Caenorhabditis elegans: one gene and its partners. The protein of the gene in region 1 purifies or fractionates together with the protein of each later gene. This does not show direct contact. Each region holds a gene or a part of one and is shown on either strand. Other genes may lie near its edges. The genes, in order: svh-1, htp-1 and K08D9.4.

The links.
Region 2: the proteins of svh-1 (region 1) and htp-1 fractionate together in Caenorhabditis elegans (co-fractionation; one large-scale study listed by BioGRID). This does not show direct contact.
Region 3: the proteins of svh-1 (region 1) and K08D9.4 fractionate together in Caenorhabditis elegans (co-fractionation; one large-scale study listed by BioGRID). This does not show direct contact.

The regions. Positions count from the first base shown.
Region 1 is NC_003282.8:8,204,614-8,208,369, forward strand, and holds the start of svh-1 (Serine protease svh-1), read left to right. Parts: upstream 1-2,000; 5' UTR 2,001-2,135; coding exon 2,136-2,227; intron 2,228-2,400; coding exon 2,401-2,642; intron 2,643-2,722; coding exon 2,723-2,890; intron 2,891-3,076; coding exon 3,077-3,153; intron 3,154-3,298; coding exon 3,299-3,564; intron 3,565-3,614; coding exon 3,615-3,756. Other genes in the region: hgrs-1 (Hepatocyte growth factor-regulated tyrosine kinase substrate), read right to left, coding at 28-214, 275-359, 416-443.
Region 2 is NC_003282.8:5,389,544-5,393,104, forward strand, and holds htp-1 (HORMA domain-containing protein), read right to left. Parts: upstream 2,015-3,561; coding exon 1,949-2,014; intron 1,903-1,948; coding exon 1,755-1,902; intron 1,709-1,754; coding exon 975-1,708; intron 927-974; coding exon 816-926; 3' UTR 646-815; downstream 1-645. Other genes in the region: ZK616.5 (uncharacterized protein), read left to right, coding at 2,629-2,702, 2,748-2,810, 2,856-2,934, 2,982-3,047, 3,098-3,238, 3,285-3,358, 3,403-3,499.
Region 3 is NC_003283.11:3,198,704-3,202,459, forward strand, and holds the start of K08D9.4 (AB hydrolase-1 domain-containing protein), read right to left. Parts: upstream 1,721-3,756; 5' UTR 1,711-1,720; coding exon 1,591-1,710; intron 1,540-1,590; coding exon 1,386-1,539; intron 1,333-1,385; coding exon 1,051-1,332; intron 958-1,050; exon of another isoform or gene 937-957; intron 396-936; coding exon 178-395; intron 132-177; coding exon 1-131.

The DNA of each region.
Region 1 (3,756 bases):
AAGTGAATGTGTAGATGAGACACTAACTTCGTCATATTTGTTCTCAGTAACTAAATTCTTAAAATCTTCCATAAATTCTCGTGTCGCCACTTCTGCATGAACTTTATGCCCACAATTTTTGACACAAGCATCCAAAACGAGAAGAGTGTGATTTACGACATGCGGATTTTCATGTTGCATACGTTTTCTGATTGCTTGGAGTGATGGTTTTGCACTGAAATTTATAATTTTAAGCACTTCAGATATTGATTTCTCTAAACAAAAAAAAACTTACGGAACTTCTCCGGATCTAATCATATCTGTACACAATATAATTCCTTCCCAATTTGGCTCAACCAATGTACTGTCTGTCGCCTGGTCTAAATTATTGATTTTTTAGTACTCAATATATAATATTTTAATATTAAAAACTTACCCAGAACTCGTTGAAATTTTGTAGCCATTTTTTTATTCTGAAAAGTTAAACATTGAATTTCGGAAGATCCTTTTAAGAGAGAAAGAAGTTATAAAAGTTATAAAAAAGTTACCATTGCGTGCTGGATCTTGGAGTTAAAATTTTTAGGAATAATACTAAATTTTGATTTTTTCTTCAAATGTCCATTTACCCCAATTATATTTTTATTCATTGTTTTCTACGTGAACCGGGGGAAATGAAAATTCGATAAAACTGGAAAAAAGGGAAACATAAAAGGGGAAAATAAAAAATAAACAAATTCGATGTGGATGACTAAACGATAAGGTAGCTGGAAAAAAGAAAGAAAAACGGTGTGTTGTGAAAGAATTGATTGAACTGGGTGGTGGACCAGTCGACTGGCCAGTTTTGCGTAATAAGAGGCGCAGAGATAACATTCCTCGTGTGGACTCTAGGCCACGGCCATTATTGGCGAAAAAACTTTGAAGTCTAAATTTGATTTTAAATTAAGAAAATATCATTCGGCTGGTTTTTTATTAGCTAAAAACTAAAATGAGCCAAAAACTATCGATTTTTTAATTTTAAGGTTCAAAGCGATTTAGAGGTAAATTTATAGAATTTCTTGAAATTATAGAATATATGAAAAACTCTACATAATTGGAATACATATTATAAAACTATTAAATGAGCATTTAGAGGAACGGAAAAACTTTAAAACATCGTTTTTTATCAATTGCAACTTAAAAAAAACAAAAGAACAGATTCAGAAGAATGCGCGTGACGAGACAACGTTTTGGAAAAATTGCATGCGCCTTTAAGGTTACGGTAGTCGGAAAATTAAAATTTCAGGCCTACTTATTGCATGAAATTTCAATTATGATTTCAGGAGTACGATCTTTGAAGAAAAATAGTACTGAAATTTAAGATTTTCAAAAATTATTTTAATATATCGAACCAACTCTCAAGTGTCCTTACCTAATCAATAAAAACCATGCGAATGTAGAATATAATAGTGAGATCTACGAGGAAGTGGGAAAGGTAGAAAGCGGGTTTTCTTGAAGACAGTGTAAACTTCACTAAATTCATAGACGCTAACTTACAAGCCTGCCCTCTTAAGAAAAAAATCTTATATTGTTTCAGAAACTTCAATTTTAATTTAAAGTGATAAGTTTTGAGAAAATTTTTTAATCAAAAAAATCACCTGGTAACGACGCGTCATAATCGAAAAAATGAAGTTAAAATTTGCGATTACACAAAGTCAAAATTTAAATTCCATGAAAAGGATGTCCAACGGAGCATGCTTGATCTGGAGCATTTATCTATATAGAAATATCGTCGTCTATAGAACCTATAGGTTAAGTTTCCGGAAAAATTCATTACACTGCCCAAAAATAACTACGCCAAATTAGCAAGTTTTAGAATTTTTCATCAGCTCCTGCAAATTGCTTCAAATTCCCAAAAACAACAATCCCAATCGAAACTCCATCTTTTTTCCATTCTCCAAAGTCCCGCCCTCTTTACCAAGAACTTTTCTTCGCGCACTGATCATTTTTTGTCTGTTTCTCGTTCACTCTCACAGTCCTTATTCACTTCAAATTAGCAATCGAGATACACTTTTCCCTCTGTATATTCCATAATATATTATTGCCTAATTGACACCAAAACGAGATTTGAAACAAGAATTAGTTGAGGAGAAAAGTAAAAAGAAGACGGAAATGTTTCAATGTATATCGTCATAGTTACTATGAGAACAATACTATTTTTTGGAATCTTTTTTATTTTTATTTTTCAATGTGCTAAATGTATAGAATTAAAGTGAGTTTTTAATAAAAAGTGTTGGCAAATAATATGTCCTTATTTAAATATTTTTTTCATTGACTCAAAAACTAAACTATGATACTCGGTGGTTTTCAACAATTTTTCCACTTGCTTTAATCCACCGTTTAATATTAAAAGTATTGATTCAAAAACATAATCAATTTTTCCAGAATTTTCGAAGATCTCTTAGAAGTTCGTAGTCAATCAGGTCTCTTCTTCCCATTATGCTCTAAATCATTTCATCAAAAATACGGAGAACAAGCGTGTGCATCAATTTCCTCTACATTTTTATCTTATTCCACAGTTTCACTTCAACAGTATACATATTCAGTTGGTTGTACCACATCCGTTTGCTTCACTTTTTTGTCATCTTTTTGCAAAACTGGCGTCAAAGTGTTTTGTTCACCTAGTTGTAAGTCTCTATTTCAGAAGATTATGAATTGCATTTTTGAATAAAAACCCACAATTTCTAAAGCTTTGTAATTATTTCAGTATGTGCTTCTGGAACTCTTCAAATTGGAAGCAAATGTCTTTCAATTTCAACTGTCCCTGTTCAAGGATACTCTGAAGCAAATTATTATTGTAATCCAGCTACATTGATATCTTCTTTAAAACCAACAGAGATTGAATCAATTCGAGACACAATTTTGCCAACGTTTGGTAAGTAATGCTGCCCTTTTCAAAATTGCCTTGGTTTTTATTTACTCAACTGATTTTTTGGGGTGTTTATCGGTTGGGACAACAAGGTGAGTAATTGCGACGTGGCACTTCCTTACACTGTCTGTTGACTTTTCACTGAGAGAGTGACCTCTCCCGAAAAATGTGTAATCTCGAAAACTCTTCCAGCTGATACACGACTATTTTTGACTTCCGGACTCCGACAGGGAGCAACATGGAAATGGGGGAATGGAGATACAGTAGAAGTGAGTTGCTTTATTTTAAAAATACCTTGGGTTGCGACTTTAAAATTGTTTAACTTCAAGGAAAAATAGATTTCTGTAAAACGTACAAACCGATTATAAAAAAATTTATTTTGAATGCTCTCCTAGTACGATTTTGGTTTTTCAGCAAGAAGTAACGGGAACTGGACGTTGTTTAGCTTTACAAGCAGGCAATCTCGTGGCAATTGACTGTGATTCTGAAGCATACGTTTTTTGTGAATCTGGAAGAGAATGTATTGCGAGGGACAAAGAATATTCTGGAACTGCAAACAGAACATCTGATGGGAAAATGTGTCTTATGTGGAATGACCCAACAGTATTATTTCGAAGAGAAAGGGATTTAGAGATTTTGAATCACAATTTTTGTAGATTTGTGAATGACGCTGATGGAAAGTAAGATCATTTCGATAAAGTGAACAGGTTTTTTGATAATAATTTTTCAGAAAATCAGCGACGCCAGTTTGTTATACGAAACCAAATGAATTATCCCAATGTTACATTCCACCATGTCCAGAAAGTTTTAATGATGTCGTCCCAATTGAATCTGGTGACAGTTGCCCAATTGGTTCAATATCATGTGATAAC
Region 2 (3,561 bases), 2.8 Mb from region 1:
GCGAAAAAATTACAACATTTTGTGTCTGGGTAATATCCAGTCGTGAATTCGTGAATTAATTCGCCAAATCTGAAGACTCCACTTCAAAAGAACATTTTTCTCTCGATAGGTCTCGCCACGATCCATTTTGTTGGCGACAGGCGCGACTGCTCTTTCTTAAATGAAAATTGAGATATTTGTTCGCTAGAATGTGATTTTTTAACAGAACATACAAATATATGGTTTTCGTGGCGAGACCAATTTAAAGTAGCACGCGCCTTTAAAACGACTACAATCAACCTGAATACTACATAAAATTGTTTCAGACACTGCAATAAAAAAGCTTTTTCTGATAAATTTTGTGACGTCTGACATTGAAAAGTAGAATAAACTGTGTTTTTTTTCAAAACTTGAAACCAACAATCAACAATCGCCACGTTCCCTTGCAAACCACATAAATTTTAGCAAAGAACCTTGAGAAAAGTTATCGAGGTCAGCATGAATGGTGAATACAAAGAGAATTTCGAGATTTACCGAAAGATACTCGGAGCGGTATCCAGCAGAAGAAGAAAAGAGAGAATCCTTTTTAGATTGGTCAATTGTTGAAAAATTCTGAAATGCACTGGAGTATCTTGAAAATGGAGTCATGGGAAACATGCTATTTAATAACACCAGTCGATTTATTTATGAATGACTGTAATTTGAATAAAAAAAACTAAGGATACAATAATGGAGCAGAAAGGAAACACTCAAGACAATAAAACATTTTACACGATGATATAGAACATGCCAAGTTACAGAATGAAGCTATAATCTATTGAAAGCTAGGAAAAAAATTATTTACAGGAACGAGAATATGGAGACGATCTGGTTTTGCTGCCATCGGCTCCTCTGCGAGTAGTTGGTCTCGTCTGGATAGGCGACATTTGTGCTTTCTCGAGAGACTCCTACAATTTTAAATTTTTTGTTTATATGTAAAAAACTAATAAACTAACAGTTATATCATCCACCGGAGAAGTCTCGTTTCCTCCTTGATCGTTGACAGATTCAGTAGTGGCCTGACTAAGACTTGTGTCACTGTCCTCCGAATTAAACGATTTATACAGCACATTCACTGGATTGAATCCATGCCTATCGGAAACTTTGTCCAGGTGTCGCTTGAGAGTCAACTCTGCTTCGTATGAATCGGACATCAACATGCTCCAGCATTCCATGTTTGCAGCGTGGCATCCTGGGCGCAAGTGACCAATGGTTGCCGATTGGATATCATCAGGAAGTGTGTAAAAAGTGGAAGAATCTTCGAAGCCATCAATGCGGAAATTGGATGGAGCATCGTTTGTGTACTCCAATCGAAAATTAGCCGTGAATTCTTCTGGCAACGGTTCGAGAACTTTTGTGCAGAGGAACTGAACACTGCGAACAATCGTCACCATTTGATCTCGTACGCTGTCGCCACCCTCGTATACAAGTTGAGCAAGCTTTGCGAAGTGAGGATCTTCCTGGCCATTCTTGTCAGTGCTCAGACGAGCAACCACGCCGCCATTCTCAAAATAAATGAACTTCATAGAGAAAACTTCGATGGCTTCAAGATCTCCTTCATTATTTGTGATCACGAGGGAGACTTCTTTCAGAAACCCATCCTTTGTTGCATCCCCAGCATTTCGAAGTAGTTGAGCGATTTGGTTAGACCGTGGGTTTCTGAAGCACAGCGTCATGCATTTCAGCTTTTCTGAAAAAGAACATTTACTATAAAATGTGATAAGAAAAACATTTACCAGTGATGTAATTCTTCGTGAAATATTCTTGTCCAAGAATGTTACGGTTCCTAAGAACAGCCGAAAACGCGACGTAGATTGCTCTGGTCATGAAATTGGATGATCGATCCGGGTCGCTGACAATCCTTGGGAAAAGTTTGGACCATTTCTAAAGATGAAAAAAATTACAATGGCCATAAAACCATGAAAAAAACCTTATCATCAATGGAATCCGCCGATTTGTTGAGCGATTCGTCGTAGATGGTTTCCAAGGGCGCCATCTGCAAAAAAACAGTCTCATTTTTAGGCAAGAGTTTGTAAATGTGAAATATAATATAATTCCTCGAGGAATACTATGCAAAGAAAGAAAAAACCCAATGACAAGCTTAAAATGATACACTAAAAAACGAAAAATTATTTTCGAAACTAGGAAACGATATTTGAATTTTAAAAAACACAGAAAATCGTCAATTTCGAAAGCCTAGGAAAGAATTTTAGGATTTCAAAAATGCAAATAAAATGCTAAATTAAAGGTACATCGGATTGGGTAAGTCCATTGGTCTCGCCACGCAATTACAAAAGCTCAAAACTATTCAAATAATTTTTGACTAAATGCAGCTTTTCCTTTTATTTTAAAGTAAATTTTTCATTCATTTCAAAACTGTCAACAAATTTGATTACTAGAGGTAATTTTAAAAAGTACTATTCTTTAAAAATACGCAAATGCAAGTGAAATTCGCTAACTCGTGGTGAGGCCTAAATTTAGTTTACTGACTGCTCCTTTGATTACTGTAACTTGTTTGCTATTTTTAAAACGGTCTGAATTCTCATTTTTGGACGAGTTTGCCTAAATTTTCTCCTTTCAAGCTCAAAAAACGTTTATCATTGTTTTCAGATGCCAAACTATCGAGGACGTCATCAAACGAGACAGAATTGGAGTTCTAAGCCAAGAGAAGAGCACTCCCCGAGGTATTTGAATAAAAAATGTCATTTTTTCGAGTACTTTCTTTTCAGCAAAGGCGCATACAGGGACAAAATCTGGAGCGGTCCAGTCAGTGAGGTCGCCAGGCAACAAACGTATGAAACTAATTTTTAAATGTTCCTAATTTACTTATTCTTCAGGGTGTACGACTGGGTGACTACAGGTGCTTATTCCCTTGGATCGCCAGACTCGTGGCCATCTTATCCGGACGAAATCATAGTGAGTGCTGTAGTACACCGAAAAAAAGTTAATTTTTCTTGTTTTAGCTGATGAACGAGTCCCGAAATGCTCAGACATCCCGCATGTCGCGTCGGTCGGCTACTCCCGGTCCAGTGAGTTTATTTTCTTCATATTTTCGTTATGAGACAAACCTTGGTTTCAGAGATTGTCACAAGATAGAAGGACAAGAACTACAGCACCCGCCGTTGCGCCGATTCCGTTTCAGAGGGCACAGCCTCGAGTAGAAGTGGAGAGACAAAGAATCGACGAGCCTGTCGCACAGGACCTGATTATCGATGATGGGGTACCAGAAAGTTTCATTGAACATTAGCTGTAATGTATTTTTGTAGAACGGTACCAACAATTCGAACGATTCGAGTATTTGTGGCTTTGTGGAGGAATCCGAGGAACTCGTATATCCACAGTGAGTATCTAAATCAATTAATTAACTGAAATTTATCATTCCAGGTGGGTTTACTATCTGTACCCATTGATTCCTACCGCGCCTAACTGCAACAACGAGAAGTCGTACAAAGAAGGTGGCAATTGGTACAACTCTCCATGAATGATCTCCCTCTCCAGCTTCTCTCAATCTGTCATATTTCTTATGCCTGAGTTGCTCCTCAT
Region 3 (3,756 bases), on another chromosome or scaffold:
GCCAATAAATCCGCCCGCTTCTTATTTTGAAAATGATTATCCTTTGCAATAAATACAGATGTTCCTTTTTGATTTTTGAAACTTTCCATTATTTTCTGCTTTTCGGATTCTGTGATATTCGCTTTGAAATTCTGAAATTCCTTCCAATTTTTCAAGTTTTTCTATCACAAAACTTACAAAATGCGCGAGTCCCTGATACTTTTTGAGTGCTTCAAAAACAATTTCCTTTTCAATTAAATGATCACTTCCGCCAAAAGTGATCATAGTCTTTGTGGGCAGTTCATTTAATTTCAGAATGTATTCCAGTTGCTTTTCCAGGTCACAGTTCATAATTGCTCGAATAACCGCCACGGCTTCTTCACCATCATGAATTTTGAATCCAACCAATTTCATTACTGGAAATTGAAATAATTTATAAGATCTGAAGTATCCCTGAAAATTTCGAACATCCTTTAAAGGTGGAGTACCGAAATTTGAGACTTTGCTTATTTAGACCCAAAATGACCCAAAACCATCGACTTTCATAATGAGATGTTTTGAAAGTTTCTCAAAAACGGGTTTTTTCTAAAACATTGAGCCGACATAACTTTTATTTGAAAAATTTTCAGAACATCTCATTACGAAATTTGGTAGTTTTGGGTCATTTTGGATCTAAAAAAGTAAAGTCTCAGATTTCGGTACACCACTTTTAAAAACTTAGGTCTAACGAAAATACGTATTCCTAAACTGCCAAAACTACACTTTAAATAAGCCACTACCAATAATTTTGCTGCGTTTTGAACTAGAAAATTTCCGATCTCAAATTTTATTTTTACAGGACATTTTTCCAATTGTTCTGAAGCTCGTAAAATTGCTCTAGGGGTAGGCAACATCCAGAAAACTTTTCAGATTTTTGCTTTTTTTTTAATCAAAAACGCTCCCAAAATGAAAAAGTTTATGAAAAAATCCAACTTTCAAGCATTTTGACGAGCCTCAACAGTAGTAAAACACCACATTGAAACATTTTTTGGTAGTGGCCTATGGCATATTTCTCATTTTGCTTATACTCACAATTATACAAAATGGCATCTCCAATCTTTTTCGGCAATTTCTTATGTAAATAAATCAGCGACTCCAACTTTCCCTTCGGACGAGACCCTTTATTAATCCTCAACCCTGTTGGATTAGCCATCACTAGTCCATGAGGTTTCCGATTAGCTGCTGTTATCAGTGCATTCTCACATCCTCTGCTATGCCCCATTATGATCACTTTTCCCGGCACATCTAGCTCGTTTAACAGAGCTTCTGAGTAACTATTTCGTTCCCAGTTTCCGAAGTGTTGACCTGGGTACGCTGAAATTTATTTTTAATTATTTGATGGTTTTTTATTAATTAACTGAAACTACCTGGAGTTTGCTTGAATCCTGGGTAGTTAATACCAATAAATCTAATATTCATGTGCTCCAATCGCTGCCTGACATACTTGAAATCCCTGTGAGACCCTGGAGTTCCATGGAATCCAATCACAGTACCCAATGGGGAGCCAGATGATAATGAGTCCTGAAAAACTGACTTTTAAATTGAGAAATCAGTATTTCAGTGTCAACCTACCTCATAAACTGCATTTAAATCTACCAATCTTCTCCTTTTGGTTTGGAACTGCACCAACTTTGAATACAACTTCGGCTCGGTGGCGGGTAGCGTGGAAAATGCTCCTTTTGACATAATCATTATTGATTTTCTTGAAAGAATTTGTATCATAAATCACCAATTTGAAACATTTTTATTCACGAGATATTATCAAATTTAATCAAATTTGTGTTTAGAAAAAAAAATCTGACCTTCTCCATTTTTGTACTAGAAACGTAAAAAATACAACGATTGCTGGAAAATCAAAAAGACAAAATATAAAGCACAACATGAAGCTGGCATGTAAAAAAAGAAAGAAGATATGACGTCAACTGCGTACCCAAACGAAAAAGAGGAGAGAAGCGCGGGTCAGCTGTGTAGTTGGAGTGTGGCCGGTGTGCCCATCGGGTACTCTGGACCCTACTGGAATAAAATTTTAGCTTTACTATTAGATGAGTTTTTTTTTACATTTGATAAAAAAACAAGCTTTTTGGACAATTTTTTCTGGCCAAAAGAAAATCAAAAAATAACCGTCTAACAATTGACATTGAGTTGCAACTGTGTGAAGACGTGAAAATTTGAGAAAAAAAAATTCGCATTCAGAAAAATGCAAAAATTACACTGTAAACTGAAAAAAGCTCTAAAATATGAGTTCAACAAAATTATACGTTTGGCCAACTGCGAAGATTTGCAATTTGGTCGCCTGATGCCGAAAACTTGCCGAAAATTTGCCCATCGATAGCTGAGTTTTTAAACCAGTCAATTGAAGTATATCAGGAAAAGCGAACTCACAAGATGTCGGTCGCTGCAGTTTTTGACATTTCTGGTATTTTTGGGTGTTGTTTTTTTGTCAAAAATAGGGGACTTTTCAGATATGTATGTTATATCACATGTTATGTATGTTATGTATGTTATATTAGCCGATATGGAACCAAAAATTATCGAAATTGGTTACCTATCGGCTTTAAATATACCTTATATCAACGAAAGTAAATGAGATAAACTACCAATATATGTAATAAAGGACGATAATTCCAAAAAAGTCAACTTCGGACATGAATCTTATTTCGCAATGAATCTTGCGCAATGAATCTTATTTTGGCACCTCATGTCCTATGCATGTTTAATACTTTTACCCATTATTCATCTCCCTGACACCCGCACATTCATGTACCAACTAATCAACTTTTCAGATGATAATTCATTTTCTGTATGTTTATTAGTTTTCTGTATGTTTATTATCGTATGTTTATTACGTTTATTATCATGATTTCAATCGTAATAAATTCAATTCAATTCAATATGTAAAAGCGAGAATACAATTTATTGTAAAATTACATTTTTTGACAGCCTTTATTTCCGAATTTTCAAAAAATACAAAAAAAATTCAGAAAGAGGAAGGAAAAAATTCAAGCAACTACATGAATTTCCTAAAATTGAAAAAAAAAATCGTAGTAAAATTTTTCAAAAATTAAAAAAAAACAACTTTTAAAAATTTCAACGAGCGGATTCAATGGTGTTTCAAATATTTTTTAATTATTGGTGAGGGTTTAAACCAGCGATTCTCGAATTTTTTTCACCAAAAATTTGACTGAAAATGTTGAAAAATGTTAAAATTTTGAAGTGTTTCATTAAAATACTGAACCGGCAATAGGTGGGCGGCAATTGCCATTTGGCAATTTTGGCAAATTTTGTCGACAAACTCGGCAAATCGGCAAACTGCCGGTTTTCCTGATATTTTCAATTCCGGCAACTTGCCGGTTTGTCGATTTGCCGGATATTTTCAATTCAGGCTATTTGCCGATTTGCCGTTTGCCGAACACCAATTTGCGGGAAGTGTTTAGAGGGAATTATTTATGAAACCGAAACACTTAAATTTGCGCCTTTTTGAAATTTTTTTCCCCGTTGTCTTCAGATAATTTCATAGAATTTGTGTACTTTTCGAAACAGATGTAGGAACATTCATAGAATGCGTACAATTTTGCCGATTAAAATTGAAATTCTGAAATTTCCAAAAAAAAAACTGTACAAAACGACAATTTGGGTGATTTGCCGGTTTGCCGATTTGCCGGAAATTTCATTGCGGTATATTGCCGGCAGCTTCGATTCCGGCAATTTGCCGATTTGCCGGAAAAAATAGTTTGCCAA